Macaca fascicularis: one gene and its partner. The protein of the gene in region 2 purifies or fractionates together with the protein of the main gene of each other region. This does not show direct contact. Links are inferred from orthologs where the notes say so. Each region holds a gene or a part of one and is shown on either strand. Other genes may lie near its edges.

Region 1 (3,831 bases), on a different chromosome or scaffold from region 2:
TTGAGTGGGACCTGGGAACCAGATACACTGCCAGGAGGCCATGGCTGGAAAGAGCAGGGCCTGGGAGGCACAGTAAAGCTGGGCCACGAGGAACGGAGGGAAGCACGCTTCCTGGGAGGCCCTAGACCATGGGAAGAGGTGTTCAGGTCAGCAGTGATGTTTAGGGAGGGGTTTGGTGGCAGTGTATGGCACTTGGTCAGGAGCAAGTGTACAGAGGGGATGGGGTGCCGAGGATAGACCCCCACTTGCTGTTCGAGCTCAGTCACACAGCACAAGGGCGGGTGCACTGGTGACTTGAAGATTCAGGCTGCAGGGTCGAGTGTTGGAAGAGTTGGCTTCTGCAAGGTAGAGGAGCAGGCCTGTGGCCCAGGTGGCTGTGGAATGACGCACAGGAGGCATTGAAGGGTGTCAGCGCTTTTCTGCACCTCTTTTTTAGTCAGCTTCTGGAACCACAGGGCATCTGGCCCTGACCTGGAGCCAAAGCCAGTTCTCTAAGGCCAGGCATATATGGCCTTCCTGCCCAGTGGCTGGCGAGGGCTGATCTGCACAGGCAGTCCCCAGTGGCACACCTGTTACCAGCCCGATCGATCCTGCTCATGCTCGCTTTGGCAAGGTCAAACGGGTTGTGTGCCAATGGCCACGTCTCCACAACCAGGATGTCATGCTCTGCCTTCCCTAACCCAAGTGCCTGGGGAACCAGAAGCATCTTCATGGCCTTTGTCCTCTTTATGTTCTCTGGAACCAGAAATGTTGTGCCTATGGTTTGTCTCCTGTGCTGCCTTGGGAAAGGACACTCATTCTGTGTGTTTGGCTACTTGTGGTGGGGTGTTCCGATGCCATTTTCCAGGGGTCTGATGGTGACCAAGAGATCACAGGCCAAAATGTGTTAAATAAGGCTTTGGCGGAAGGGGGCATGAGGGCTCATGGGCTGGGAGGCGCTGCGGGAGGGGCCTGAGGCTGGTTCTGAGCACAAGTATCTTGGGTGTGCTTGACACCTAGTGCTGCCTATCCCTGCTGCACACACACAGCAGCACGCACACACACGAAGCATGCACACACACAGCAGCACGCACACACACGAAGCATGCACACACACGAAGCATGCACACACACAGCAGCACGCACACACACAGCAGCACGCACACACACGAAGCATGCACACACACGCAGCACGTAGCACGCACGCGCAGCACGCCTGCACACACTCCTCTCGAGGCTGCTATCTGAGAGTACGCAGTGGGGTTTGATCTAGCCCCTCTTGAGTAGAATAGAACCTGAATTGCTGCTTCGATGGGTACATTGGGAATGTCAGAGACTTGTACGGAATTATTTTAAATGCCATCACATTCATTTGACCAACTCTGAGGCTTTCTGCAAAATGCCACTGCTGCAGACAGGAGTTCAGTGTGGCCCTGACTCTTGGGGTCATTTTCTGAAGGCAGAAAAACAGGGGAGCCCCCACACATTTTACACTAGGAAGAGGGGGCTGGGGCCAGGGCACAAGGGGGCTTCGTGTGCTGCCGAGACTGCCTGCGGGTGGTGTGGTTAGGGCTGAGGGAGGGAAAACCCCAGCTCATCACAGACAGGGTGGAGGGCCTTTTTGACAAATGGTGGGGAGACATCTGGTGGCATCAGGACATGGGGAACGGGCCCATGTGTTGGGCCACAGAGGAGGGGGCAGCTGCTCCCTGCTCCTCTGTAAAGATGGCCCTGAAGGGCCAGGAGGCACTGAAAAAGCAGCTATTGCTTGCAGAGGCCGGGCACCAACACATCTCTCTCCTGCAGACCGGAAGCCTCCCCTCGCTGCTGCCTTAGGTGAGGCTGAGCCGCCGGGCCCTGTGGATGCCACTGACCTCCCCAAAGTCCAGATTCCTCCTCCGGCTCACCCGGCCCCTGTGCACCAGCCACCGCCGCTGCCACACCGGCCCCCGCCCCCGCCGCCCTCCAGCTACATGACTGGGATGTCCACCACCAGCTCCTACATGTCTGGAGAGGGCTACCAGAGCCTGCAGTCCATGATGAAGACCGAGGGACCCTCCTACGGCGCCCTGCCCCCCGCATACGGCCCACCTGCACACCTGCCCTACCACCCCCATGTCTACCCACCCAATCCGCCCCCACCACCTGTGCCTCCTCCCCCAGCCTCCTTCCCCCCACCTGCCATCCCGCCCCCTACTCCTGGCTACCCTCCACCCCCACCCACCTACAACCCCAACTTCCCACCCCCACCCCCACGCCTGCCCCCTACCCATGCAGTCCCCCCTCATCCTCCTCCAGGCTTGGGCCTGCCTCCAGCCAGCTACCCACCTCCTGCCGTGCCCCCTGGAGGACAGCCCCCTGTGCCCCCGCCCATTCCCCCACCTGGCATGCCTCCAGTTGGGGGGCTGGGGCGGGCAGCCTGGATGAGATAACGTGAGCCTTTTTTTCCCCCTTTGTTTTTTTTAACAAGTTTTTCTAATCGACTTGCAGAGTAGTTGAAGTGGGTAAGCAGCAGGGTACCTTGTATAATGCGCGACAGTTGCAGTATGGGAAGAATGGACCAGGCCCCTGGGATAAAATCAGGGTGGTCCTCACATCTAGAGGACAGGGACAGCCAGCTTTCAGAGTAGCCTCATCAGCGCCCTTGCAGTCTGACTGTGTACACTTGGTTCAGCTAATGTCCGAGAGTCCTGCACTGGGTTACTTTATACTAGTGAAGATGTTAACCAGCCATATTGGCTCAATAAATAGCTTCGGTAAGGAGTTAATTTCCTTCTAGAAATCAGTGCCTACTTTTCCTGGAAACTCAATTTTAAATAGTCAAATTCCATCTGAAGTCAAGCTGTTGTCATTTTCATTCAATGACGTTCTCTCCCATGACACCCAGAAGGGTCAGAAGAACCACATTTTTGATTTATAGATGTTTGCATCCTTTGTATTAAAATGATTTTGAAGGGGTTGCCTCGTTGGATGGCTTTTTTTTTTCCTCCAAGGAGAAGGGGAGAAATGTACTTGGAAAGTAATGTATGTTTACATCTATTTGCAAATTCCTGTACATAGAGATACATTTTTTAAGTGTGAATGTAACGACATACTGTGAATTCCATCTTGGTTACAAATGAGACTCCTTCAGTCAGTTATCCAAATAAAAGCAGTTCTGAAACTATCCCTTTCTCTGTTAATGGGTGGAAGGTAGGGCTCCAGGCCTTCGCAGTCCCCGGGTAACATTGTACAAGCCCCTCCTTCCGGACCCTGGGCACCGGGAGAGGCCTGGCTGCAGTTCACAGGAGCCAGAGCCAACCCCACTGCCTCCCAGGGCACTCTGGGTGGATCGGCACATTTGCCTGCCAAGCCAGCCTGCACCCATCCTGTGCCTGCCTTGGTTTCCTTTGGAGGACCTGGTTGAGTTCCAAACCAGCTTGAAACTTTCAAGCCTTGCTGCATAGAACACAGACGGGAACACAGGCTTGGGTTTGAAACCCTTTCCACTTCTGGCCTGCGATGAGACGGAGGCAGCTGGAGGAGCAGCGGCCTCACCATCCACCTTGAGGGGCCAGGGCTGTGTCTGTGGAAGGGGCCCCGACTGAGCCCCCATCTGAGGTGCTTGAAGGGCCTTGGCCCTGTCTCTGCTTGCTGACCCTGCCACCCATGACGGAAACAAGCACTGAGCACCCAGCCAGGAGGCTCACAAAGAGGCCTTTATTTATCTAGCTCAAAGTAGACACTATCACAATCTTGTTTATTACTCCTTTTACTAAAATAGTTCAAATCAATGTGTTTACCACACTATCAAAAAGTTCTATTCTTGTCTCCCCACGTCAGAGTGGTTGAATAGAAGGTAGAAACAGGCCG
Region 2 (3,921 bases):
TACTATTGGCTAGGTGTAGTGGTTCATGCCTGTAATTCCAGCACTTTGGAAGGCCGAGGCAGGCAGATCACCTGAGGTAAGGAGTTCAAGACTAGCCTGGCCAACATGATGAAACCTCATCTCTACTGAAAATACAAATACTAGCCAAGCGTGGTAGGGGCATGCGTGTAATATCAGCTATCAGAAGGCTGAGGCAGGGGAATCGCTTGAACGCGGGAGGCAAAGGCTGCAGTGAGCCGAGGTCAGCCTGGCAGCTGAATTGAACAAGAATAAAAAAGCACGAGCGGCAGAGGCAGCAAGAGCCGCAGAAGCACTGCACTCCAGCCAGGGCTGGAGCGAGACTCTGACTAAAAAAAAAAAAATTGAGTATAGTCAGCCTGTTGTGCTAACAAGTAGTAGGTCACCTTCATTCTTTGTATTTTTTGTGCCCATTAACCCTCTCCCGACCCTCCACTATGTCACTCCCCTTCCAGCCACTGGTAACCGTCCTTCTACTCTCTGTCTCCATGAGTTGAATTGTTTTAATTTTTAGCTCCCACAAATAAGTGAGAACGTGCAAAGTTTGCCTTTCTGTGCCTCACTTATTTCATGTAACATGATGACCTCTAGTTCCATCCATGCTGTTGCAAGTGATGGGATCTCATTTTCTTTTTATGGCTGAATAGTACTACATTGTTTATATGTACCACAGTTTGTTTATCCATTCATCTGTTGATGGACACTTAGGTTACTTCCAAATCTTGGCTATTATGAATAGTGCTGCAATAAACATGGGAGCACAGGTATCTCTTTAGTATTATTGATTTCCTTTCTTTGGGGTATGTACCTAGGAGTGGGATTGCTGGATTGTAAGATAGCTAGTTCTATTTTTAGCTTTTTGAGGAACCTCCAAACTGTTCTTCATAGTGTTTTTACTAATTTACATTCCCATCAGCAGTATACAAGGGTTCCCTTTTCTCCACATTCTTGCCAGCTAGCTCCTTGGCAGTGTGTTAATGTGTTAACCTGCCTACTTTAGAGTTAAAAAAAAATGCTGAGTTTAAGACCTGAGTTCTAGGCAAAAATAGAATCCAACTCAGATGTTATAAGAGACTTTAATGCAGGGACTGCAGAGGTGCCCTGGGTTAAGGGAACCCATAAGGCATGTTTTTACTAGAAACAGGGAAGCCCAAAGGGGCAGGAAAAATATTGTGCTATTGGAGCCTCGTGAGAGCTGTGAAGAGGGTGCCTCACAGCAACCATGGTGGTGGAGGGATGCAGCTTCTGCCAGAAAATGTGGCCATGAGGAGGGAGGGAGGTAGGAAGAAATAATGCAGCCTTTCTCCGCCTTCTTATCTTCTGTCAGTGGCAGGACAGCCCTGGAACCCAGAAGGCATATCTGTTGGGGTCAGCATCATTGGTCACAGAGTAGAGCAGAAAAGTATTGGGAGATAGAGTAGTTGTAGTAAGATAATAAGCAACACAACTACTAATGAGTTCAGGTGTTGACTTCAGGTAATGTAATATTTTACCCAATTTCTTATATGTTATCTATGCATACTTTACTGGGTTGATGTGGGCATTAAATGAGATAACGTGAATGTATTATCATAGTGTCTTTGTCTTGTTGAGTATATTTTAAAAGTCTTAGTAATGCACGGATTTGAAAAGCTCAGCTTCCTTTCACTTGGTACTGTGTTAAATTTGTTTTGTGGGAACTTTGGTTGCCACTATATTTTTAAATATATGTTTTCCAGTAATTTTTGAGAAGCGAATGGCCTCATTATCAAGTTGTTTCCAAGATTTAGTTTCTCATTGTTTTATAGAGCAAGGAGCCTGAAAACCTAAGTCCTAGTTCAGGCTATAGTACTATTTGTGGCATAGTTCTTTGTGGGAGTTATTTTTACTTTGCCTCTCTGTTCTTTTCCCTTCTGAGAAATTGGAGTAATAATACTTAACTAGTAAATGTTTAATATTATGGTAAAATAATCGTTGTCAAGTACTTTGAAGACTTAAATGATACGTATATTAACTTTTACTCTCGTTCATTTTGAAAGTATCAGAGCCTCAGATTAAGAGTGATTAGATGGTTTTTAGTTTGTAGCATTTTCTGTGTGAAATTATGTAGCTCATAAGATATTATCTTGTATATGTGTGTTTATGTGAGTAAAGTGATTATGCTTGTGTCTATTTTAGTTAATGTGTGTGAATGTAATTTTTTTTTTTTTTTTTTGAGACAGAGTCTTGCTCTGTTGCCCTCCGCCTCCCAGGTTCAAGAAATTCTCCTACCTTAGACTACAGGCGCATGCCACCATGCCCGGCTACTTTTTGCAGAGTTTTTTTTTTGAGGCAGAGTCTTGCTCTGTCGCCCAGGCTGGAGTGCAGTGGCCGGATCTCAGCTTACTGCAAGCTCTGCCTCCCGGGTTTACGCCATTCTCCTGCCTCAGCCTCCTGAGTAGCTGGGACTACAGGCGCCCGCCACCTTGCCCGGCTAGTTTTTTGTATTTTTTAGTAGAGATGGGGTTTCACCATGTTAGCCAGGATGGTCTCGATCTCCTGACCTCGTGATCCACCCATCTTGGCCTCCCAAAGTGCTGGGATTACAGGCTTGAGCCACTGCCCCTGGCCTACTTTTTGCAGTACTAGTAGAGACGGGGTTTGATTCACTATGTTGGCCAGACTTGTCTCGAACTCCTGACCTCGTGATCTGCCCACCTTGGCCTCCCAAAGTGCTGGGATTACAGGCGTGAGCCATCACGCCTGGCTGTACATTTTCTTAAAACTATCTTTCTGAAACGAACTCTAAGAGACTCTATTTATTGCCCAGTAGTAAGTCTTGTCTTTTTCACTCTTGCCGTAGACAGAGCACTGTTTATTTCTGAACTTATGGTTGAGTAAGGTACTTTTGAGATGTGGCAACTGTCTCCTGGTAAAAGATTTGTCAGATTTTACCCTGCTGCTACTACTACCATTGATGTAGCCTTATTGCCTACTTCTTTTTTCTGAGACAGCAGTGATGCCTTGTCACATTTTTCCTCCTCATTTTTACATTTGTAGACCAAAGCAAGATCGGGGCAATCCATTTTGAAGAGAACTATGAGCACCAAATAATATTCTACTTTAAAGAACTTTTTATTTTTCAAAACTCCTTCGAAAATGTAACTTTGAAATTAAGTAAAATTTCTATTTTATTTCATAAACTCGAGTTAGCACTGTCTTTGTAAATTCCAAACTGAACCTTTCTGAATTACTGACTAAATCTTAATTATTTCTCACCAGACGGTCTGGCAAATCCCGAAGCAGAAGCCCATATTCATCTAGGCATTCAAGATCTCGTAGCAGGCACAGATTGTCTAGATCCAGAAGTCGTCATTCTAGTATTTCTCCTAGCACACTAACTCTGAAGAGTAGCCTGGCAGCTGAATTGAACAAGAATAAAAAAGCACGAGCGGCGGAGGCAGCAAGAGCCGCAGAAGCAGCGAAAGCTGCAGAAGCAACTAAGGCTGCTGAGGCTGCTGCCAAAGCTGCAAAAGCTTCAAACACTTCTACACCTACCAAGGGGAACACAGAAACTAGTGCCAGTGCATCACAAACAAACCATGTGAAGGATGTGAAGAAAATTAAAATTGAACATGCACCTTCTCCCTCAAGTGGTGGAACTTTAAAAAATGACAAAGCAAAAACAAAGCCACCTCTTCAGGTAACGAAGGTGGAAAATAATTTGATTGTAGATAAAGCCGCCAAGAAGGCAGTCATAGTTGGAAAGGAGAGTAAATCTGCTGCTACAAAGGAGGAACCAGTATCTCTTAAAGAGAAAACCAAACCACTTACACCAAGCATAGGAGCCAAGGAGAAGGAGCAACATGTAGCTTTAGTGACCTCTACATTACCACCGTTACCTTTGCCTCCCATGCTGCCTGAAGATAAAGAAGCTGATAGGTA

The links. Proteins that work in one complex are often made in the same cells at the same time.
Region 1: the proteins of CDK13 (region 2) and CCNK purify together in Homo sapiens (affinity purification with mass spectrometry; 4 studies listed by BioGRID and IntAct, counting the BioPlex papers as one, with this or other methods). This does not show direct contact. The link is inferred for Macaca fascicularis from reciprocal best matches to the Homo sapiens genes CDK13 and CCNK.

The regions. Positions count from the first base shown.
Region 1 is NC_088381.1:167,585,687-167,589,517, forward strand, and holds the end of CCNK (cyclin-K), read left to right. Parts: intron 1-1,785; coding exon 1,786-2,411; 3' UTR 2,412-3,145; downstream 3,146-3,831. UniProt on the Homo sapiens protein: Regulatory subunit of cyclin-dependent kinases that mediates activation of target kinases.
Region 2 is NC_088377.1:90,410,017-90,413,937, reverse strand, and holds part of CDK13 (cyclin-dependent kinase 13), read left to right. Parts: intron 1-3,258; coding exon 3,259-3,918; intron 3,919-3,921. UniProt on the Homo sapiens protein: Cyclin-dependent kinase which displays CTD kinase activity and is required for RNA splicing.